2 linked regions of the Notamacropus eugenii genome follow. Each later gene encodes a partner of the first gene's protein in a complex. Links are inferred from orthologs where the notes say so. Each region holds a gene or a part of one and is shown on either strand. Other genes may lie near its edges. The genes, in order: SMAD7 and SMURF2.

Region 1 (12,629 bases):
AGCAGAGCGGGAATTCTAATGCCTAGTCATTGCTATTAACATTTTATTTTCAGGTTCTATTTAGGATTTTTTTTGTAAAAGGTTCTTTTCCATCTAGCCAGAAACCGTAGTCCCAAATTCTTCTTACTTGTTTGTGTCTCAACCCTCCTTACTCTTTCTTTGTGCAGTACAATGAGTTAGAGTTAGAAAAGACTTGGATTAAAATTCTGCCTCTGACACTAAGTAATTGTGTAACCATGACATAGAAGGACCATTGGACTTGAAATCAAATTGTATCAGACACTTACTAGCTAAGTGATCTTGGGCAAATTACTTAGCCTTTCTAATCCTCAGTTTCCTCATCTGCAAAATACCTATAGTATCTACCTCAAAGACATCAAATGAGATAATACATGCAAAATTAGTTTTGCTATATACACATCATCTGTCATTACACTATTTCCTCCATTGCTTTTCAGGATCCCATTTTCTGTCCCTTTTGGCTTCCTGGGCACTCTGTTGAAACCTTCAGGTGGGGTCTGGGACGGAATTTTAAGGGTCTGCTGATGTTAAAGGGGAGGATTTGGGGGAGACTCAGTTACCAGACAAAGTTGCTCCCCTTTCCCTCTTAAAAACCAGAAGCTTGCTAGCTCATGAATGCTGGGATGGGACATTTGCCCGAATTCTTCCTAGGTTAGTCCAAGGCTCTTCAACTATAGGAGATTAAATAGCCAGTTTCTTTAGATGACTCCATCCTTGTTTGTCATAACTGCTGCTAGTTATTTTGGTCTCCATGACTTGTGGCTGTACCATGATTAGTGTTTGATTACTATCACCAAAGTGACTAAAAGATGAAAATAGAAGCCACAACAGGAAATAAACAACTGCAAATGAGATATTTTATTCCATATTCCCTGCCAGCAACTGATTAGAATCAAATTCATTCATAATAGTTGGGGGGGGGGCGGGGATTTCTAAACTCTTTTTAAGGCCCAGAGGAAGCAGGAAAGGTACACATGTCCCTCACATTTATATTTGTGAAAGAGAATGGAAAGGAAACTTTCCACAGAGCAGCAAGGGACCCTCCTCTGCAGTAGGGACCCGTCCTACCCAGTAGTCTCAGACTCAAACTGCTTGTTTGTTTTATGTTTAATACCACTAATCTATTCACACGACTATCTAAGTCTTTGTTTGCCTTTGCTGAGATTTGTTAATCTAGTTATTGGCCTCTTATACAAAGGGCTACATAATATGGGGGAAGAGGGAGCCACTAAGTAGTCCAAAATTCTGGTTTGAGATTCTTGCTTTTCTTGGCAGTTTTTCGAAAGGAACCGTGAAGGAGAGGACAGATGGGGAGAATTGGAAAAGGTTTGCTGTTAATATCAAGATAAGGGGTCATTGATGTAAAAAGCATGAAGAATTAATAAAGATTGATGCTTGCCCCTATAAATCAGCTCCTTTGAAAAGTTTTGGTTCAGTGAGTTCAATGGAAAGGGAGAAGCAATGGCCAGAATGAAATAGCTCTCTAAAGTCTGGATTAAAACAGTATAAACAATAAAGAAAGGTGGTGTCACATAGGTGACCCCTCCAAAAATGATCCCTTAGCAAGAACTATGTTCAAGTCCCATGCCTGATATGTGATGCACACTGGCTGTGTGACCCCAGGGAAGCTACCTATCCTCTTAGTCCCCCAGACAACTCTGGAAAACAATAAATTTTAGGGCAGGTGTCAATTTGCTTTGGTTGTGAGAATTTCTTCATCAGGAGTTCCTTAGGGCAGGGAAATAAAATTCCTTCCCCTCCAATCAAAAATCCCCTTGAGAATAGGATATGTATGTATGTGTATGTATATGTGTGTGTGTATATGTATACACATACATGCAAACAAATGGCACATATGCCTATGTGCTATCTAGTCATGCCCTCAACATAATAATATAGCATTTGATCCTCACCACAACCCTATAAAATAGGTGCTGTTATCATACCTATTTTGTAGATGAGTAAATCAAGGCTGAGAGAGCTTAAATGACTAGCCCAGGGTTACACAGCTATTTGGGGTAGAATTTGAATCCAGCTGGTTCTGAATCGAACTCTAGCACTCTCAACTCTGCCACCTTGATGACACCAGATTAAACTTTTGTCACATTTGTTAAGTTTGCCTGACATATATGTGTTATGTATGTATGTATTACTTATATTTCTATTAGAAGGAGAAAAGTTAACACAATTTTCCAAAGCTTTTGAAATAAGAAAACTTTTTTGTTCAGATTCTCAAGTTAGCCAAGAAATACATTAGCACTAGGACTTTTGTTTTCTATTTATTCAATTCCATCTTAACATCTGAAGGCTAGTCTCACAAAATGTTAGAACTGGGAAAAGACCTCAGAATAATTTAGTCCAATGTCTTAATTTTATAGATGAGAAAACCAAGCCCCAAACAGGTGAAGTGACTTGCCCAAATCATAGCTCATTAGGTAGACTCCAAATGGAGTGTTCTTTCCCATAGTGGGCCGCCTTTGGAAGATGAGCCTGCCTGTCATTTATTTATTTATTTGTTTGTTTGTTTGTTTATTTATTTTTTTTATTTAACTTTTAACATTTATTTTCACAAAATTTTGGGTTACAAATTTTCTCCCCTTTTATCCCCTCCCCCCCAAACCCAAGCATTCTAGTTGCCCCTGTGACCAATCTGCTCTCTCCTCTATCCTCCCTCCCTGCCCTTGTCTCCGTCTTCTCTTTTGCCCTGTAGGGCCAGAAAGCTTTCTTGACCCCTTAACCTGTATTTCTTATTTCCCAGTGGTAAGAACATTACATTTTGATCCTAACACTTTGAGTTCCAACTTCTTTAGCTCCCTCCCTCTCCACCCCTTCCCCTTGGAAGACAGGCAATTCAATATAGGCCAAATCTGTGTAGTTTTGCAAATGATTTCCGTACTAGTTGTGTTGTATAGGACTAACTATATTTCCCTCCACCCTATCCTGTCCCCCATTACTTCTATTCTCTTTTGATCCTTTCCCTCCCCATGAGTGTCAACCTCGGATTGCATTCTCCTCCTCATGCCCTCCCCTCCATCCTCCCCCCCACCCTGCTTGTGCCCCTGTCCCCCACTCTCCTGTATTATGAGATAGGTTTTCCTATCAAAATGAGTGTGCATTTTATTCTTTCCTTTCGTGGAATGTGATGAGAGTAGACCTCATGTTTTTCTCTCGCCTCCCCTCTTTATCCCTCCACTAATAAGTCTTTTGCTTGCCTCTTTTATGAGAGATAATTTGCCCCATTCAACTTCTCCCTTTCTCCTCCCAATATTTCTCTCTCACTGCTTGATTTCATTTTTTTTTTAAGATATGATCCCATCCTCTTCAATTCACTCTGTGCACTCTGTCTCTATGTATGTGTGCGTGTGTGCATGTGTGTGTATGTACTCCCACCCAGTACCCAGATACTGAAATGTTTCAAGAGTTACAAATATTGTCTTTCCATGTAGGAATGTAAACAGTTCAACTTTAGTAAGTCCCTTATGACTTCTCTTTGCTGTTCACCTTTTCATGGTTTTTTTTTTTTGAACCCTCAAGAACAGTATTTCTGTCTTTATTTCATAATGCTTAAAGATTCTCTTGTAAATACTGAGCAGGGAACTAAACTGACACTCTGAATTGTCAAGGTCCAGATTCTTCCTTCCCATCTCCATTTCTTCTGTGTGTAACAGCTATATTTCTGATTAAAACTCATAATACTTTGTTGTGGCTGACTCTTTGTGACCCTATTTGGAGTGGTAAAGATACTAGAGTACCATTTTCTTTCCGAGCTTGTTTTATAGATGAGGAAACTGAGACAAACAGGGTTAAGTGACTAGCCCAGGGTCACACTGCTTCTAAGTGTCTGAAGTCAGATTTGATCTCAGGAAGATAAGGAGTCTTTCTGACTGCAGGTCAACACTCTATCAACTGCACCACCTAGTTGCCCCAAACGTGCCAAGCTACTTCATTAGACCTTAGAGTTAGAAGGATTTACAATGGGGAAAATTAAGATCCAGAGAAGAAATGACTTGTGCAAAGTTACATAGACCTGAGATTCAAATTCACATGTTTTGATTCCAGATCCAGGATTCTTTCCACAATGAAAGAGCACCTTTCCTATTTCCAATGAAAAGTTTAATTGAAACACATAGCTGAGAGAAACATGTTCTCTATTGGTATATAGGCATTCTATAGACTGATGTACCTATGCACAGCTTCCCAGAAATGTATTTAGATGATCTCTGCTAGAGAATGATCACACAACATAAAAGGATGTGTTTGAGTTATTTAGTTTTTTCACTCACACCTAATTCTGTCCACCTTTCTATGTGCAAGGCAATTTGAAGTTACTAAAATATCTGAGATAATCTCTTTAATCTCAAACAGTTAACAGTCTAGTAAGGGAGATATAAAATTCTTGCTTTTTAATAACAACTTAAAGTTAACATTTCTTGTTCAGTCACATGAAATCCCCCCATTTTGAATGTTTACTTTTTAAAAACTCATACTACTATTTGTTCCCTGTACATGTCAAGTAGGCAGCTAGGTGGCGCAGTGGATAGAGCACTGGGTTTGGACTCAGGAAGACTCATCTTTTATGAGTTCAAATCTGGTACTTACCAACTGGGAAACTCTGGGGAAGTCACTTAACCCTGTTGGCCTCAGTTCCTCAACTGTAAAATGGACTGGAAAAGAAAATGGCAAGCTACTCTAGCATCTCTGTCAAGAAAACCTCAAATGGGGTTATGAAGTCAGACATATGTCTAAAGTCAACAATGTATGTCAAGCATGCTAGTTTTTTAAATCAATAAATACTAGACATTACTAATGTTTGTATATGAATTTGAAAATATCAACTGTCACCTCCTCAAAAGAATCTTTTCAGATCCTCTTCCCCAAGCTTTTTGCAGACCTCCACACCCAGACATTCCTTTGAATTTTATACTTAATATTTACTTATCTATGTTCTTCTTATTTTTCCCCTTTAGAATACAAGCCCATGGAGGGTAGAAAATATTTTAATATTTATCTTTGTATACTAAAGGGCCCCGTGAAACTGCAGTAGGAGCAAATGTTGGTTGAATTGAACATTACTCCTGTATAAATGTTTTATTAAGATTCTCTGAATTCCATGTGACCCAGGGCAAATCACTTAACCTTTCAATGCCCCAGGCAACTTTCTAAATTACTGAGAAGGTGCGGACCTGCTTTGGAAGTGGGAGTTCCTTCCAGGAAGCCCCTACCCAGATAAGATCAAAAGTCCAGTCCAAAAAGGGGGGGTAGGGGGTTGGGGGAAATCATCTGGATGTTCAGTTCCTCACTCATCACCAACTTACACATTTATTAGGGCTGGCTGTCTAGGTGGTGGAGGAGTAGATAGCACCCCAGGTTTTCGGTGTCTGCAGCACTTAGTATAATGTCTGGCATATCGTAGGCGCTTAATAAATGCTGCTAGTTGACTTACTGAAGAAGTATGGAGAAGATACAATTCCTGATCCTCAGCATCATAGTATCTAAGAGAAACCATCACCATCCATGTCACTAAGGGCATATGTTGCTATATGCATGTCTCCTATAGTGCCATACATTTCAAGGCAGCCGATTCAAGCTTTGGTTACGTTGTGTTCGTGGGGGTTGAATGTTGTGTCTACATATTTACTTACGAAATAAGAAATTTGCAGGTCACTACATCCAGCCTCCCTCCATTCACCCACCTCTTCGTGTTGGGAGTTGCCAAAATCCGCTACAAGCCCCACTTTACACTTCACAACCCTAAATACATTCCAGAGCTGTTCACAATACACACTTCCGATGTAGTTACCGAAACAAGAGCGTGGAGGAGACCGAAAGAAGACTGAGGTCACATTCTCGTCCGGCTCCCCACCCCTAGGCCAGAGCTCTGCTCGTTCCCCTCCAGTGGAGACTTCCTGGGGCTCCAGTCCAGTCTAGTTTTAAATGACTTCTTAAAAGAGGACAGAGCTCCCCCCTCCTCCCTCCGGAGACTGCTGGGCAACAAACCCAATAGATCTCACGGTCAGGACTCTCCATCTCTTTAAATGAATGAAATGGGTTGGGGAGGGGGGCTTAGAGGAAAGATTGGGCCGGAGGGGTACTGTACAGGGGCAACGAACACCCAGACTAGTCTGCTGATGCAAACCCATTCTTGAGTCCTTTTTTTTGTTTTGCTTTTAATATTTTCTCTTTGCTGTAACTCTTCCAGCCGACCTGATTTTATATATGTGTATGTATGTATATAGATAGATACCTATACGCATGCACGCACATATATAGGGAATCAGGTGTTTTTTTCTCTCTCCACCTCCTCTTTTCTTCCTCTCTTTCTCTTCCTTCTCAGTTTCTCTTTCTCTCTCCCCCTCTCTCCCCAGAATTCAGGAGGAGGGAGTAGGAAGGGAAAGCAGGGGGGGGAGGGTGGTAAGGAGAAGAAAAAGAAATAGCTTTTAGAAACCCGATCTGTTGTTTGCGAAACACAATCGCTTTTTTTTTTAAAGCGACAGGGTGTCTAGACGGTCACGTGTCCAGGCCGGAGCCGGGCGCGCCACTGCGCAGTGGAATCAGCGAAGCAGAGAGAGCCAGGGCGAAGTGGGAGGGGGGGTGTAGGGGAAGGAGGAGGAGGAGGAGGAGGAGGAGGAGGGGCGGGGGAGGAGGAGGAGGAAGAGAAGCAGGGGAGTGTGTGTGCAGCAGGCGGCGAGCTTCAGACACACATACATACATACACACACACACACACACACACACACATGCATACACGGGAGCTAGGTCCGCGAGTAGAGCGAGGTGAGAGCCAATACCGGCTGGAGGCAGAAGCTGTTCGGAACCCTCACTGCCCTCCTCGGCTTCCCGGAGTCTTCCCCTCCCCTCGGGATTGCAAAGCACCGGAGCCCGGCTCCAGAAGCCAAAGGCAAAGACTAAGAAGAAGAAGGACACCCCACATTAAAAAAATATTCCCCTCTGCCTTCTCCTGCGAGGCAAAGCCTGCTGGTCCCCTCCCTCCCCAGAAGAAGAGGGGAAAAAAAGGGAGGAGAAAATAGGAGAGAAGAAGGGATTCCAAGCTTTTTTTCTTGCTGCTTGCTGCCCGGCGCATTGAGAGGAAAATAAAAGTCGGAGAGGCCAGAGAAGAGAAGGAGGCGGAAAGTAAGCAGCCACCCTCGAGGGAGCCCCGAGCCCAGACAAGCGACTGCCTGCCGTGCTTTTTTTTGATCTTTCCTCCTCCTCTCCTTCTCTCCTCCTCCTTCTCCTCCTCCTCCTCCTGCTTGCTTGCGTGTCTGCAGCCGAGGCGAGGAGCCTGGGCGAGGAGCAACCCTGAGAGGAGGAAGACACGGTTGCAGTAGCATTTGCTAGAGAGAGCCAGCCAGCCTGCGAGCTAGAGAGCGAAGCCGACGCCAGTCTCACCTCCTGTCAGCCTCGGCATCACCCCCCCTCTCAGATCTGTTTTTTCTCTCATCTCCCTCCTGCAGCCGTGGGGCCTGGAGGAAGTGGGGACTGGGTCGGGGCGGGGGAAGCAAGGCTATCCCTCGGAGATCCACCTCGGAAAAACCAGGAGAGCTAGTGAAGGCTGGTGCAGTTTTTTTTTGGAGGGGAGAGTGGGTGGCTCTTTGTTTTTTTTTTTTCTTCTTTCGCTGAGGTGGTGTTAGGAAGGAGGAAAGACGAGAGGCTCACTTAAAATAATAATCAGACGAGCATGGTGGAAGAAGCCGATTCAAAGCTTCCTTTGGATTAAAAAAAGATACATATACACATATGTATATATCTTTGGCAGAAGAAAAGGAGAGGAAGAAGAACCGAGCTCCTAGAAGAAAAAAAAGGATGTTAACTCTTGGATACATTTTTTTCCACCAAAATTTTTTTTTGTGATACTTTGTAAACGTTTTGTCGCCCTTTTTCTTCTCTTTTTTGAAAACTCCGACACAACCGGACGTCCCCGGGGCTGCGCCTTGCAGTGGTGATTGTTTTAAATTTTTATTTAGAATATTTGGGTTCCCCTCCCTTTTTAATTGAAAAATAATTTTTTCGTCAGGCACCTCATGCGGGGTGAAATTCACTTTCTTCCCCTCCCCCGAACCTTCGTGTGGATGGAATTCGTGGAGATCCGGTTACTAAGGATATAGTGCAAAAAAACAAATTAAATCGCGTGCCTGCCTTTTTTTTTTTAATTGCCAGCTTCTCCTCACCCCCAAATTAAGTTGCTTAGAGAAGGGGAAAAGAGCATTTTCTCCTGATTCAATCAAAGAAACAAAACCTTAAATTTTCCTTTTCCTGAGGTTCTTAGCCTCAGTAAGGAACTGAGGCTGGAGGTGCTGACATTCAAAAGCTACTCCTCTTCGTTCTGCGTTTGGGGGGCAGTGAGGAGAGAAGGAAGAACTACCTCTCCTGAATCCCCGTTTTTTCTCCCTTTTCCTTTGTATCTTCCCTTGGTCAGCCCGGTCTGTTTCCTCGGCGGGGCTGGGCGAGACGACCTGAATTGGGTGCCAGTGGAGCGGGGTGGGGAAGCCGGAGAGGAGCGGTCCCTCCCCTGCCAGGCCCCCCCAAGCCCCCCCACTCCCTCCGGGCTCCGAGAGACTGGCGCATGTTACGGAGCGTCCCTCCTGCCGCTGCCGCTCCTGCCCGGGCTCTTGCTGCTGCTGCTGCTGCTGCTGCTGCCGCCTGCGACTGCTGCCCCAACTCGGCGCCCAAATTCTTCATGGTGTGCGGAGGTCATGTTCGCTCCTTAGCCGGGAAACGACTTTTCTCCTCGCCTCCTCGTCCCGCATGTTCAGGACCAAACGATCGGTGCTCGTCCGGCGTCTCTGGAGGAGCCGTGCGCCCGGCGGGGAGGACGAGGAGGAGGGCGCAGGAGGAGGCGGAGGCGGAGGAGGAGGAGGGGAGCCGAGGAGGGAAGGGGCGACGGACAGCCGGGCGCATGGGGCTGGAGGAGGAGGCGGCGCTGGTAGGGGTGGCTGTTGCCTGGGCAAGTCGGTCAAAGGTGCCAAAGGTCACCACCACCACCATCACCACCACTCCTCCTTGGGCGCCGGCGCTGCCGGGGGCTCGGAGGCTGAATTGAAGGCGCTAACCCACTCCGTGTTGAAGAAACTGAAGGAACGGCAGCTGGAGTTGTTGCTGCAGGCGGTGGAGTCCCGCGGGGGAACCCGCACCGCCTGCCTCCTCCTGCCTGGCAGAGTGGACTCCAGGCTGGCCCTGGGGCAGGGGCCTCCCGCGTCCCCTCTCCAGACTCAGCCTACCCAGCCTCAGCCGCCGCCGTCGTCTTACTCGCTCCCCTTGTTGTTGTGCAAAGTGTTCAGGTGGCCAGATCTCAGGCATTCCTCGGAAGTCAAGAGGTTGTGTTGCTGTGAATCTTACGGGAAAAACAACCCGGAGCTGGTCTGCTGCAACCCTCACCACCTTAGTAGACTCTGCGAATTAGGTAAGGAGTTTTCACTTGCTTCAAGTAAAGCTTCTCCCCTTGCCAGTGATGGAGCAAACAGAATTGGGGTCTATACTTTTTACAACTGTGTGATTGCATTCTTTTCACCCTGCATTGCTAGTGGGGAAAATGTGTGCTTATAGTGAGGATGCATTGTAAGGGGATCCGGGGGCTTGGACTGATGTGTACTGTGCCTTCTTCCTTTTCTCCACTCTTCAGGCCCGTGAGTATGATTTGGCGTGCATATTATTCATGCAGACCATACGTGTGCATGTAGTTCAAAATTAGAGACCAAAAAAGGGTGCAGAAAAAAAGTGTCCTTGCTCCCTCTTGCCCCCACTCAGATAAAGGAGTAGGAGATGTCAATGATGCAGACTAATTGATTCCAAGAGAAGTGGAAGTGTTCCGAGTGACGTGAATCTCCTATCCCTTGGTAAATAAGGAAAGTCAAGTTGACTCTGGGACTGGGCTATGGGGATTGCAAAGACAGCTTGAAAAAAAGCTATCTACATAGCCTGCTGTAGATTTCCTCCTGAATTGAAGAAAGAACAAGAAGCCACTGGGACATTGGGATTCCAATTTTTCCTCCTCCAGAAGAAAGAGAGAGTCCATACAATTACAGGCTCTGGTATTTATCAGATGACATATTTGTTGCCCCTTTACAGAGCTATAGTCCAAAAGGATTCCCCTTAAAGCTCTATATAATAAGCGTAAGCTGTCATTCACTGTCCCCCTCCTCTGACTCTCTCTCTCTCTCTCTCTTTCTCTTTCTCTCTCTCTCTCGTTTTGGGTGAATGGGGGCATATTGATTTTGGAGTATTTTCTAATTTAAAACTCCGTTCCCATTGTAGCCGTCCCAGAGTTTCGCGCAGCTCCTACAAACTTTCTTGAGTTCTTGGGTGGTTGGGTTGTGAAATAGAAATCAGCTGGTGGCAGGCAGATCGATAGGACTTTTCTCCTTTTTTCATTATGTTTGGGTGTGTGGTTAGAGGAGGAGATGAGTGTGGGGTTATGGGGAGGGTTGGGAGTGAAGGGGGATTTTCTTTCTTTCCCTCTTTTCTGTGAAATGTTCTACGTGCTGCTCGGGAGGATTATCCAGCAGCCTGAATCCGTGGTGATTTCCAGAGCTGGAGTGTTTCAGCTGAGCCAGGGAGACCGGATCAGACAGTCAGAGTAGCAGATAGCAGCGAGTCTGGCGCCAGGCGGCCTCTTTTGTTTATCTGACAGCAAAATATCAAGGCAATCGCCGCCTCCCGGCCCTGCCTCCAACCCCCAGAGCTAAGACAAACAGTTTTGCTAAAAGAATGCCACTGTTATCACAAGTTTCTATCTCTTTTTCTCATGGCTCTGCCTTATTTTCTCTTTACTTTTTCAATTCCAGAGTCTCCCCCTCCTCCCTACTCCAGATACCCAATGGATTTTCTCAAACCAACTGGTGAGTAGATGATTTTAAAGTACTTCGAGTGTGTTTAGGAATAGAATGGTTAAGTCGGGTGTGTAGTAAAAGCAGCAGGGAGTCGTTATGCTTATTAAATATAGAATGTGCTCCTCGTTTTTTGGGGGTTTTTCCCAGTAACTTTGTTAGGGCTAAGGGGCCTTTTTTTTCAGGCTTATATTAGAAATGCTTTAAAATATTTTGTTCCTTTTAAGTGTTTTTGCCCTCTGTGCCCTACCAGTTTTAAAATGCATAGGCTGTGATGGGTACCAGAAAAATGTCAAGGGAGTCAAGAGATAACTGGTTTTTAGAAGAATTTTAGAAGAATTCAAAAATTTCTAAAATCCCAGTGCCCAAAGAGTAAGGGCGTGGAGTGGGGAACTTTTACAAATTCCAGCACTTTTTTCATTTTGATGGATCTAGGTTGGTAACCTAGTGGCCAGAGAGAATGTTATTTTCTAAGGTTAAAAAAGGTGATTTGTAGTACATTTGAGTTTTTAGGAAAACAGCAACCACAAATCCTTCCCCTTTTCCCTGTGTTACTTCCTATCCCTAGTCACCTGTAAGTCAGCCTTCTCCCATGCTTCCTTAAGAATTCTTAGTGGGGGCCATAAAAGTTTCTCAGCCTTGTTCTGCATGCCTGTTGCTTTATAATTGAGTGGCAGGATGCCAGGGCAGAAGCCCATTTGAGGCTGGCACCGGCTCTGTTGCGGTTGTCTGTATAAACTTCTGGTTGGCAGCAGGCTTGGCCCTGTGTTGATAAGTAGGACCAGCATTGTAGAAGGAAAGAAAGAAGTGCAGGGGAAATAAGAATGGTGGATAACATCAGGGAGGAGTCCTGGTTTCATGGAGCCACTTTATATCTCTCGAAAGATTAATTGGCTAAAAGTATTGATTGTAGCACAAGTTGTCTTTGTGCCTGTGTCCCAGTGTTGGAATTTTTCAAGCTTTTACTTGACCAAACATGTGATATGAGAAAAAGAGGCATGTTAGACCTGAAGAGGGGCAGAGGTGGGGCAGGTGGGTAAGCAAGCCTCCCCAGAGCTCTCCTAGTGTCCTCGGAGCATCTTTTAACCTTTTGGAATTAAAACAGCTCCACTACATCATGCGTTTTGTCTGATGGAACTTCTCCTAATTAAAAGTTTTGCTGAGGTGGAGTCATGAATGAAAATACTTTAATGAACAGTGTTCCTGAAGCCCAGATTCCACAGGTTGGGCCTCCTCCTCCCCATCTCCCTCAAGTTAGAGAGGCGTTCCTCCCTCCCCTCTAATAAATGGCCAACAATGCATGTGATATTTTGCTTTCGATTTACAGAATACCAGATAAATGGTCATTAATGAGGAGATAACTTAGAGCACTGTGTTCTTAAAGTGTAAACTGAAATTCACCAGTCTCTTAACTTGCCAAAGAAGGTTACCAGACTGCTTTATACGTATTCAAGAAAAGCTCTGGACTTCTGTTAACACACTGGGATTCTCAAATACCCCATACTTAATACATGACCTTGGGCTAGTGACTTCACCCTCTAAGCCTTAGTCTCCTCATCTGTCAAAAGAGGACTAGATCTAGCGATCAGTGATTGTTTATCTGTAGTCCAGAAACTTGTTTTCAAAAATAATTCTAAGTGTACTTCAGTAGAATTGGAATTGGTTTTCATTGTTGCCTTACAGATTTTAGGCCCTTAAAAGCATTATTCTGAGGAGGGATTTCTAAGCTTCTAAGATTGCCAAAGGGGTCCTTTAAACAAAAACATAAAAAATCCTCACATTCAG
Region 2 (11,735 bases), on another chromosome or scaffold:
AACTGGAGGACAGAGTGGGGGAGGGACTTTTAGAGGGGTGTGTGGATTGAGATGGGGTAGTAAATGGGGGTATTGTTGAGGAGTAGGTGAAGTAAGTGGGTGGGAGGGGGAGGAGAGAAGATAAGGTAATAGGAATAGGGTAAAAAGAGAGGCTGAGAAAGAAAATAGCGAGTAAAAATAAGGTGGAGGGAAATTCACAAATAGTAATTATAACTTTTAATGTGAATGGGATGTTTATGATGGCTCCCTTTCTGGTGGCAAAGAACTGGAATCCTCATCAATTGGGCAATGGTGAAACAAGTTGTGGCATTTGGTCCTAATGGAATACTACTGTACTATAAGAAAAGATGGGCATAATGACCTTAGATGGGCACGGAAAGTCTAAGAGCAAAGTGAGAAGAACCAGGAGAACACTGTATACAATACCAGCAATATTGTTTTAAGAATGACTTTGAGTGAATGGATCATTTTGGCTATTATAAATACACAAACTAAAAATAAAGAACATATGAAGATGCTATCTGCATCCAGAGAAGGAATTGATAAAAAGAAGCATGTATAGAATAATTTTACATATACACCTATTTGTGTCTAATGGTAGGCATCTCTAGGGCAAAGAGTAGAGGGAGGGAAAAAGAAAGAAATTTATATGTTAACTTCTTTGTATATTTAGAGGGAATAGCAAGTTGTACATGGTAGATTTGTAGTTTCATGTGCAATTATCTTTTTTATTGTACTGTGTTATAGAAATGCTTGTTCTGTTCCATGAATTGAAAATAAAATAAAGAAAATGTTGAGTGGACTACATGTCTTATTTGGTTCCTCCATTGAACCTAAACTACCAATAGATTGGCCTAAATCAGGCCCTGCTCAGAATAAAGAGGGAGATTCCAACTAGTAGACTAGGGAACAGTGAATTTAGTAGTGGTGGTGGGGTGTCAGTGTTCACTTGAACCCTGAAATAAGTTGCGTTTAATCAGTCAAGAAACATTTATTAAACACCTGCTATGTGCCAGGTACTGTGTTAAATACTGAGGATACAAAGAAAGGCAAAAAACCAGTCCCTGGCCTCAAGGAGTTCACAGTCTAATGGGGGAAGACAACACATAAAAAGAAGCTGAAAGGAGAAGTAGGGTAAGGTGGGGAAATCTGTGCAGGTATCTGGATTAAGTTCTGCAACTAGTTGTTAAGTGGAGGATATAGGAGTCAGTCTCTGATGTCCTCCCTGCACCCTGTCCAATCAGAGGGAGGAAAGTATTCCAGGGAGAGAGGTATCAAAGAATTGAGAATTTTGGAGTTGATGTGGTCTTCCAGGAGAATGAGTTTGGAGATAATAATAAAGTACCAGATAGCTGCCAGGATGGGAAATCATGAGGTAGTTGCCCTTAAATGAAGGATGTGAGAGTAGCTCACCAAAGTCATTCAAAAAACTTAGGACCTTGTAACTATCCTATAATAGCTGACCCTGATCCATGAAGAGGACTGATGACTGTCCCAGAAGAGATATCATCTGTATCATGGCCTTGTTGTTCCTGGTGCCACTCATTGTCACCTCTTTTGAATTCTTGTGACTATTACTGCATTTTCCAAATGAAGTCTTTGTTATCAGTCTGTTCATAACATGATAATAATTTCCCAAAAGGAAATTATATCGGAGATTTTTGCAACACATTTAGAAGCTTTCTTTAATCACTTGCTATTACTTCTAAGCTATTTAAAGCTGTTGAATAACTTGCCCATGGTGTCTCAGCAAATATATATAATTCTTTTTTTTTTTCTGTTTTCCTTTGTAAATGAAAATGCTTATCTTCTTTGGTGCTGGTTAAGTTCAGAATAAGAATTTTTTTTAAATAAAAGAATAGTTAATTTGCTGTGATTGTTACCTACCTCTGACATCATTTCTCACTATCTTCTCCTTTAGTCTGGTCACTGGTGAAGAGGTGACTCTTCACCTTGCCAAGGCTGTCTCCTTTCTGTTTATTTGCCATTGCTTCTATCTTCTCCTATTTTATCTAACAGATTGTCCCTGCTATGATACTCAAATCTTTAATCCCTGCTGCCTACAAAAATTCCTTAGTCTTCTTCATTTGATTTGATTCTACCATCACCATCAACTATTATTCTACATCTTCTCTTTCTTGGCTAACCTTGAAAATGTCATCTGTACTTAGTTCCTCCAAATTGCTCTCCTATCCCTCTATTCTAAACTCTTTGCATTGTGGTTTCTGATCTCATCACTCAACTGAAATTGCTCTCTCTAAAGTAATCAATAATCTCTTAATTTCCAAATCTAATGACCTATTATGCTAAGTTCTTATCCTGTTTAAACTCTGTGCAGCATTTGATACTGTTAATCATCTGCTTCTGGTTACTCTCTGGGTTTTTATGACTCTTCTTTCTTCTGGCAAATCTCCTACCTGTCTAGTCATTATTTTTCGGTTTTCTTTACTGGATGTTCATGTCACTCCCATTAACTGCAGATGTCCTCTAAGAATCTGTCCTGGGCCTTATTCTCTGTTCTTCCTATGCTCTCAAACTTGGCATTCTCATCAGCTTCCAGAAATACAATTATCATCTCTGTGCAGGTGATTCCTAGATCTTTATATTCAGCTCTAATCCCTCCTGAATTACATAGTTCCTGTTTTCAAACTGGGTGCCCTAGATGTCCTCAAACTCAACATATTCTACCCAAAACAACTAATTTTCTTTCTATCCAAATGTCTTCCAAACTTCCATATGCCCTGCTGAGGGCAGCAACATACTTCCTGTTACCCAAGTTTGTAACCTCAAGGTTATACTTAACTTTTCACTTTCACTTATCTCATATTGCCAGATCTTCCCCTTTTCTTCACATTTTTTGGATACATTTTTTCTCTAATCATGTAGTCATCATCCTAGTTCAGGCCTTTATCAGCTTTCACCTGGAGTATTGTCATAGTCTAATCGAACTCTCTACCTTGGAGTCTCTTACTTTGTTAATACATCTTCCATACAGTTTTAAAAGTGGCTTTCCTAAACCTCAGGTCTGCTCATGTCCTCTCGCTATTCAATCAAGTCCAATGGCTCCCTATTGGGAATTTTAGGTTTAGGACAGTGCCTGGCATACAATAGATGCTTAAAAAAAATACTTTGTGATGAGTTTTAGGAATAAATGTGTACCTTTTTATTTGGCACTTTTAAACATCCTGACTCCTATCTTTCCAGTCTTTATACACATTACTTCTTTCTGCTCACAATGTGGTCTTCTTGCTGTTCTCCACACCCTATGTTTCAGTTCTCATCTATGCTACCTTTGCCCTGTTTCCTGACCTCTGACTCATGTAATCCCTGGCTTCCTTCAAACCCCAGTTTATGGGCCACCTGTGCAGGGCCATTCCTAGTTCTCTTTCAGTACTTGTACCTTCCCTGAAAGTATCTTTTGTAACAAGGTATTGGATAGGTCTTGAACTAAATGTCCCCTGGGTAAAATAAAGGTCTAAGCCTTCACAAGGAATTCTGGGATTTGTAATCTGAGAGACAGAAAGCATTTCTTGTTATCCTGAGCCTGGAACTACAGATTTCAATGGCACCTGGAAGTTTTCAAAAGAAGTAGTCTGTGAGAGAAGGGGAGAGACAGAATATGGAAAGGTAGCAGTGGCAGGAGTGGATACCATTGAAGAGAAATATCTGGTGGTTTTCTTAGGGTAGTGTGTGTGTTCTGGCACAGGAGGCTGAGCAAGGAAAGATGACTTCAGTGCTCAGTCTTTGATAAATGGAGCAAAGAAACTCAAACTGAAGTTGCTAGACGACTGTCTACTTAAGAAGTAAGGAAAACTAGGGAAAGGTTTTACTCTTTGCATCTCTCACCTCCCTGTTTGCTAACTGCTGCTCATGTGTAGATTTTTGCCCCTCCCTGCTCCTTTGTTTCTTTATCCTGAATTTGTTTCTTATAAATCCAGGGTCGATTATGACTGCTTTGACTTACATACATTTATTCAGTTCTTGGAAAAGGGGACATGAGGGATGCCACTGATTGGCTTAAACACTTAGGTCGGAGGGTTACACTTTGGTTCAGTGTGTGTGGGGAGAAAGGGAATAAGTATTTATATATCCCCAACAAGCACTTTACAGTTATTATCATTTGATCATCCATCACAACAACCTTTTGAAGTCGGTGTGATTAGTATTCTCATTTTACAGTTCAGGAAAAAGGGGCAAACAAGTCAAGTGACTTGCCCAGGGTCACACAGCTAGCAAGTTCCTGAAGCGGGATCTGAACGCGGGTCTTCATGACTTCAGGTCCATTGCACCGTTTCATTGTAGCTGTTGTTATAGCACTCCCCAACTTGTTTATAGCAAGCTCTTATGATTTTAGTAATAATAATAATTTTATAAGCTTCCCCTAAAGCAGAATTTAAATTGGATCCCAGGCTTTCCTTTCCCCTAGGCTATAGATGCGAACTCTGTTACAGCCCAGACTATTTAACTTTGAACCTAGGAATCCCAAGCAAAACTCCAGGGGAAGTGTGAAGCAGGGGAGACTGAGGGAAAGGTCCCGCCCTAAGGCCACCCAATGGGAGGACAAAAGTCCGGTTAGGGAAGAATCAGTCCCTCTCCTTTTTCCTTTTTTTCTGGGGGGTGGGAGGGGGAGAAAGGGAGTGTTTCCCAGCTAGATCTTCCCCACAGTGACACCAGCTGATTACATCTCCCTTGTATATATCTTGTATATCTAGACCTCTTCATGTTCATATTGCTTCCCCCCATCAAGGTCAACCTCTTGAGAGCGGGGACTTGTTTTCCCTTTTTCTTCGGACCGCCAGAGTTCTGCACGGGGGACTGACACAAGGCAGCAAGAGCTTCAGGAACGCCTGGCAGCTGTCACCGCTGGAGGGAGGGGCTGGGAGGGACGCTAAGCCTGTGGAGTGTCGTAGCCACAGGACCATCTCAAGAGAAGGTAGCCCAGCTGCTCCAGGAAGAATGCACAGAAGGGGCGGGGGCGGAGGCGGGAGGCATTTAACTTCTGTCCAGGCTTCCTCGACTGAAAAAGGAGGAGTTCTTCCCTCCTTTTCCTCTTGGGGAGGCTAGCGCTTTAAATGCTAGAAGAGGTTCTACCAGGGAGCAAAGCTGTTACTGGGTTAGGAGTCCGGTCACCCCCAGCTCGGGTGGCGGGGGGTCGGGGAACCTGACCCCACCCCTTAGGAATGGAACAGAATGTCTCCCCAGGGTGGGGGTGGGTGAGGACGCCAGGTCGGTCAGCCGCCTCTTCGGGGCTTCGGGGACACTTCTGCCTCCCAAGGGTCCCGAAAAGCACGTGAGGAGGCGTGGCAGGGCCAAGGCCAGGGGATAGGTCAAGACCGTCTGCCGGGGCGGCGGCGGCGGACCGGACGCTCGGCTGGAGCCTCTTCCCTTCCTCTCGGCTTCTTCCGTCCCCTCGCGCTCCCCGTGACGTCACAGACCCCGCCCCAGCTCTTCTACACCCTTTGTCACCCCCCCCCCCCCAAACGCTCAGCACTCCCCCCCAGACTGAGTGGCAGCGTCGGCTGGAACGCGTTCCTTCCGAGGGAGGGCGGGTGGAGGAAGGAAGACGAGGAACCTCGAGCTCAGCCCCGGCGTCGCCTCAGCCCGGCCCCTCTTCGCCGAGCCGAGCCGAGCAGGGCAGCGGGGGGCTGGCCGGAGCCCGAGAAGCCGGAGGAGAGGGCGGGCGCGGTGGGAGCGATCTCGGCGTCCCGCTCTCTCCTCGGCTCATGGCGAGGACTCTCGGCACATCCGGGACCCTGGGGCCGCCGCGGCCGCGGCTCCGGCTGCTCCGTCCCCAGCGCCAGCCCCGGCCCGGGCCTCAGTCCCAGCCCCGGCCCCAGCCCCGGCCGCTCTGGTGACTCCGCCGCGCCTTCGCTCCGCCCGTCCGCCCCCGGCTCACCAGCCGCGCGCTCGGATACTGGGAGACGCCCGGCCCGGCGCCCCGCGCCCCGCGCCCAGGCCCTGGACGAGTCGCCGCCGCCGAGGCCGAGGCCATGTCTAACCCCGGGGGCCGGAGGAACGGGCCCGTCAAGCTGCGCCTGACAGGTGAGGGCAGGGCCATGGGCCGGCGGGGATCCCGGGGGCAGCCCGGCTCGAGGCGGGCCGGACCGGGCCGAGGGGACCGCGGTCTCCCGCTGTGGTCCCAGGAGTTGCGGCCCGGCCCGGCTCGCGAGGAGGTGTCGGCACCGGGGTCGGAAGGCCTCGGGCCAAGGCCGATCCAGAGTCGCCGCTTTCAGAACTCTCGCAGCCCCTCAGCCACCTCTGTTCTTTTGTTGGGGGACTGGGAGTGAGAGAGAATGTGTGCGCGCGCGTGTTTAGTGAGTTTGTGAGTGTGAGAATGCGTGAATGCTAGTGTGCGTGTGTGCGTACGCGTGTAGAGGGGAGGTCAGGTTTTGAACTCGACTTACTCGGAGTTGGAAGTCCTCGGAGCTCCAGAGCTGGGCTCTCTCTAGACTCCTCTCAGCACTGGCCCTCCCAGGTTCTGTCCCTTGAAGCCCCAGGCTGCGGTGCCGCCCGCCTCGTGCCCCGCAGAGCTTGAATGCAGTGCCCCTGCGCTGGGGATAGGGTGCACCCCCTGGGAGCACGAAAGCTTCTGGGGATGTTTGCTGAAGCACCCCTGGGTTATTCAGGTGACTCCCTGCTGCCAGTCCAGGGTAGCCTGGAAGCCGTGTTTGTATACATCGCAAGGCTTTGTTGCTCATGGAGGAATTGTGTAGACGGACCACCGGCCCCCCGCCACCTTTTCTTCAATCTTACACTTTTTTATTGCCCGAAATCAGAATAATCAAGCTCATTCAACATATTCTGCGTTTTGACAGTGTTAATGGTAACCTAGCCTTTAGAAAATGCTTATTTTTGTGAGCTCAGAGAAGCCGTGTGTGTGTAAATCAAGAACTTGTAAACTCAGGACTCCTGGGAAAAGAAAACTCTGATATCAGGAAAGCGTTTTCCCCCCATGACTTTGGCTAAAGTTTGCCAACTTGAAAAAATAAACCAAAAAATGGCTCTTCTTGAGCTTAAAAAAGAAGTATATTGTTTCATAATTTACCTATCAGGTGTGCTAAATACTGATATGACATCGTAAACAAATTTTGATTTTTGTTTTGAAGATATGTCAAAATGAGTCAGTTACCCTGCCCTTGGGGAAAAAATTCCAGGTTGCTAAAGTTTATCTGAATAACTACTGAGAAAACCCAGTTTTATTAAAATAGGTGTTTTAGGTATAGTTTGATCAGTGATAAAAGTTGATATTCTGATTTGAAGTGATTAAAATTTTTGTCACAGAATTTTTTTTGGCTCTTCCCCCTAAACCTACCACTTTCTCTTGAGGGCATCATGATTCTTCCTATCACCATGGTGGTCATTCCTAACCTTACTGTCATTCTTAACCCTTGACTCTTGTTACAAAGAAATTGTCCATATTTAATCAGTTGCCAATTCTTACACGAATCTATCCCCTTGTCACTTCTTATCCCACAACCACCCTGGGTCCAGGGCTTGTAACCTCTTGCCTGGACTGTTGCAGTAGCTCCTAATTGGTCTTTAGGCCTCCAGTCTCTATGCTCTAAAATTGATCCTCCACACAGTTGTGAAGTCTGACTGCACTTCTTTGCTCAAAAAGTTTTAGTGACTCCTCATCACTGCCTTTAGGATAAAGTACAGATTACCCTGTTTGGCATTTAAAGTCCTGGCTCCAGCCTATCTTTTCAGACTGATTACACATTACTCCCTTTCCTGAACTCTACACTCTAGCTAGTAGTATGGGCTGTTTGCTGTTCTTGGTGCAGGCCATTATATATCCTTCCTGTCCTCCCTTCCTGCTCTCCCTTCTAGTCTCTGCTCCATGGATGCTCTACCTGCATTCAAAGCTCAGCTCAGGTGCCATTTCTTTCAGGAGGCCTTCTTTCATGTCTGTTGGTCATTGTGTATTTATTTTGCATATATCCTGTACTTATACATTGACTGTGTAAGGTCCTTGAGTTGGTTGGTAGCATTTTTATATTTGCATTCTCAGAGTTTGTTGCAATGTGTAACACATAATAAATAGGCACTTAAATGCTTGTTGGCTGATAGAAGAAAAAGCTATACCTGTTGACTTTGTTATTATGTGGATTTGGTAATTAAGCAATTGCTATCACTTTCAGAGTCCATGGGCATAACCTCTGAGATTAAAAACTCTGAGGTTAATTTGGTTGATAAATGTGGGAGATTTATTTTAGATTGAATGTATGCTGGCTCTACCTTTTCAAGTCCGTGTCTATGATGATATTAAGCATACGAATTATGACTCCAGATGAGCAATAGGTATCAAAAGTAGGATTTTTGCTACTTATTTTTATTAAATCTGTCCCTAAATGGAGAAAATGAAAGTATGAACAGATTTGCAGCAAATAAAAAGAAGTTGAGTTTTCCACATAAGCCATTAGATTCTTAAAATGTGTCCAGTGTTTTGGATTTTTTTTTTTTTGGTGCCAGTGGTTTTAAGGTGCTTCCTTTCTATGTGTAAAATTTAATAAAGCACTGAGCAGTGTAGGTTTCTCAGAAAGATTGTAATCTTAAGGAAAGACCTTCTTTAGTGCACCAGACTAAACTTCATTAAATGTAAATTAATTATATGTAATATAATAATTGAATTCATGTATTTTCAGATTTTGATAAATTTCAAGATACAATGTTATCTTTATTGCCATTGATTATAAGGTAGTGTTAGGAAGCCTGATTTGTGTGGTTTACTCTTGAAATTTGATAATTTTTTAAAATCTAAATTTTTCTTTTTCTCTTTGGCTTCAGAGTGACAATTTTTTATTTTGGCACAAATCCTCCCTTCCCCTTTATTATTTGTAAATCAGATGGTATAGAGTTAACAAACAGATTTCTAGAACTGGATTTAATTAGCAGCTTTTTAGGATATAAACACTAATGGGTTAGATGGAAAACATTGTTTTGACTGACTGGATAAATGACAAGGCAGTGTTTGATCAAAGTCCAGGAATTGGTCTGGAGCTAATACCCAACTTCTCAGTCTGTCCTTGAGAAGCCAAATAAAATATTTAACCTAGGCCTAATTTTTTTGGGGGGAAAAAGTTTGATTTTTTTGTTAGGCTCTTAAGAAAGTTCTAAGAAATGTTTGGCATACCTTTACACTAAGTGTTTAATAGTTTATTTAGATCTGGTTTCCATGATAGAAAAAAACATCGGTAGTAGGCATTTAAAGAGTTGATATTTGGTTTATGGAACACACTGGCTATAAGATCCTTCAAGATTATTGTTCTTTGCTTTATTTGTTTTATCATAAACCATTTTTTTAAGTAATAGAATTTTTAGTTTTTAGACTATCTTTTATTCCAAAATACTTTACGAACTGTAGGAATGTGCATATGGATGTAACCATGGGTATATATGCATAGAAACGTATTTCCTTGATATACAACTGCCTCTGATGAAAGATGATAACCAATTCTTTGGACATTGTTAGGAGGAAAAAAAATAATTCAGCTTGGGATATTTTTGGTTTTAGTAAATGCTGCATAAACTCAGTGTTCAGGCCTCAGATTTTCAAGCATTTACCTAAGTTCTAAGTCACTGTGTTGTTAGTACAATACTTGGTACAAAAAGACAGGGCTGATTTAATCCTGAATATGTGGTAGAAAGCCACATATTGGTCTAGAAAGCCTATCCACCCTGTAGCATTTGTAGGTGGTTATTAAGTATATGTTTTTATTCTTGAGAGTAGCTATAGCTTGAAGAAAGCTGTCAACATTAATAAAATTGATATTTAGATGAAATTGAATGATTTAAAAAAATTTTAAGATAGGATTATTACTGGAGTAAATAAATTTTTAGTAGACAAGGTTTTAGAAAAGTTGAGTGATGTGTATTCATATTTGAACTTTAGCAAAATTTAGAATTTTGCATAGTCTCAATGTTTATAAATTTATCAAATAGTTATTGGGGTTTCTAACAATTTTAGTTTCTTAGATGTAAAAAGTTAATAGTACTTCTCCATAATAGTGATTTTAAATACTTTTAGAATTTCCATTCCATGATTTTCCTGTCTCCTCCTTGTAACATCTTATTACTCTAGTACTCCAATGGATCCCATCCATGGAGGCATTTTATGCTGTGATTCAGATCATAACCTATTTCTCTCTGTCCATCCAGTGTGACTCATTTGTGCTGTCCCATAAATTTCCCCTTAGGTCTCTTGGAATTGGAGGGATATCAGTGAAACACATGGGCTGTCCATTGGCTTTATCTCTTTAACTGAGCCATTCTTTTTGCCATGCATTACACTTCTTCGATAACATCCTTGACTCAACTTCTCTTGAGTTATTCCACGTGTGTAATGTCTTGAAGCCTGTTTAGTACACCATGTCAGTAAGGCAAGAATTTTTTGAACACTTAATGTACAGTAGTCTAAGGCCTGGGAATACAGAGAAAGGCAAAAACTGTCCCTGCTCTCAAGGAGCTGGTATTTTAATGGGGGAAATAACATGCAAATAACTTTATATATCTAAGTATCTGGCTCCATTAATTCCACCACCCACTTAAAAAGTAAATTACCTTTGTTAGGTAGGTACTTTTTTATTGAATCAAACAATCAGAACAATTGTGAACAGGCCTTGTATACTTCCTTGCAATAAAAGCCATTGTTAGACTGTTTCCCATCTTCAGAATTTGTATAAAAGGCAGGAACAATCTCAGAATTAAGAGTGAGAATAGATGAAGAGATTGGAGCAGGCTTGACCTTTGCTTTATACACCTTTGCTGAGGGGGAAAGGAACAAGTATGAAGTGCTTACTATGTTCAAGCACTTCCGCTATTTGCCTCATTTAATCCTCACAACAATTCTGTAAGGTGGGTGCTATTATTATTCCCATTTTACAGTTGCAGAAACTGAGACAGAAAAGTTAAGTGACTTGCCCAGAGTCATATAGTGTCTGAGTGAGTAGGGAGTGGAATTTTCTTGACTTGTAGACCAGGACTCTTCATCTGCATTTCTACCTACCTGTAAAAGGGAAGTATCAATTATGGTGGAGAAGAGATATAGTGAGAATTATAAGTGAGAAGCAAAGGAGAGGAGGACCTAAGATTAGAGAAGTCCAAGGGTCAGCTTTTTCCCCAATGTCTCCTCTCAAATGTCCATCCAGACATTATAATATAATCTGCTATTTTGTTACCCAAATATTTCTGAATTTTAGCCTCAACCTAGAAGAAGCCAGGAGTTAGTGTTAAGCAGATAGCCTCTGCCTAGGTGTTAGGAATTTTTCTAATTGGCAGCACAGAATGATTGGGACTGAACTTTTCATCTAAAATAAACTCCTTAATGCTGAAGAGGGGGAACCAAATAGACCTTGTTGTTATTGAGTTGTTTAGTCGTGTCCAACTCTTCACAACCCCATTTTGGGATTTCTTGGCAAAGATCCTGGAGTGGTTTGCCATTTTATTCTCCAGCTCATTTTACAGATAAGGAAACTGAGGCAAACAGGGTTAAGTGACTTGCCCAAGGTCACACAGCTAGTAAGTGTCAGAGGCCAGATATGAACTCAAGAAGATGAGCCACTTAGATGCTATTATGTTGCCCCTGAGGATTAAAAAAGAGGTAACGATTAAAATGTGACATAACTTATTCTCGCATATGTATGTGTGTGTGCGCATATATATGTATGTGTGAGAGAGAGAGAGAGAGAGAGAGAGAATCAAAGGTGATCTGATGTGGACCACTTTGTGAGGATGAA

What was found.
Region 2: the proteins of SMAD7 (region 1) and SMURF2 are in contact, whole or in part, in an NMR structure (PDB 2LTZ), measured with the Homo sapiens proteins. The link is inferred for Notamacropus eugenii from reciprocal best matches to the Homo sapiens genes SMAD7 and SMURF2. Residues at the interface, in NP_005895.1 of Homo sapiens: Glu203, Leu204, Glu205, Ser206, Pro207, Pro208, Pro209, Tyr211, Ser212, Arg213, Tyr214, Pro215, Met216, Asp217; in NP_073576.1 of Homo sapiens: Glu304, Arg306, Asn307, Thr308, Ala309, Thr310, Arg312, Tyr314, Val316, Asp317, His318, Arg321, Thr322, Thr323, Gln324, Phe325, Thr326.

Annotation. Positions count from the first base shown.
Region 1 is NC_092875.1:323,882,842-323,895,470, forward strand, and holds the start of SMAD7 (mothers against decapentaplegic homolog 7), read left to right. Parts: upstream 1-6,672; 5' UTR 6,673-8,766; coding exon 8,767-9,421; intron 9,422-10,802; coding exon 10,803-10,856; intron 10,857-12,629. UniProt on the Homo sapiens protein: Antagonist of signaling by TGF-beta (transforming growth factor) type 1 receptor superfamily members; has been shown to inhibit TGF-beta (Transforming growth factor) and activin signaling by associating with their receptors thus preventing SMAD2 access.
Region 2 is NC_092873.1:327,714,185-327,725,919, reverse strand, and holds the start of SMURF2 (E3 ubiquitin-protein ligase SMURF2), read left to right. Parts: upstream 1-5,855; 5' UTR 5,856-5,990; coding exon 5,991-6,042; intron 6,043-11,735. UniProt on the Homo sapiens protein: E3 ubiquitin-protein ligase which accepts ubiquitin from an E2 ubiquitin-conjugating enzyme in the form of a thioester and then directly transfers the ubiquitin to targeted substrates.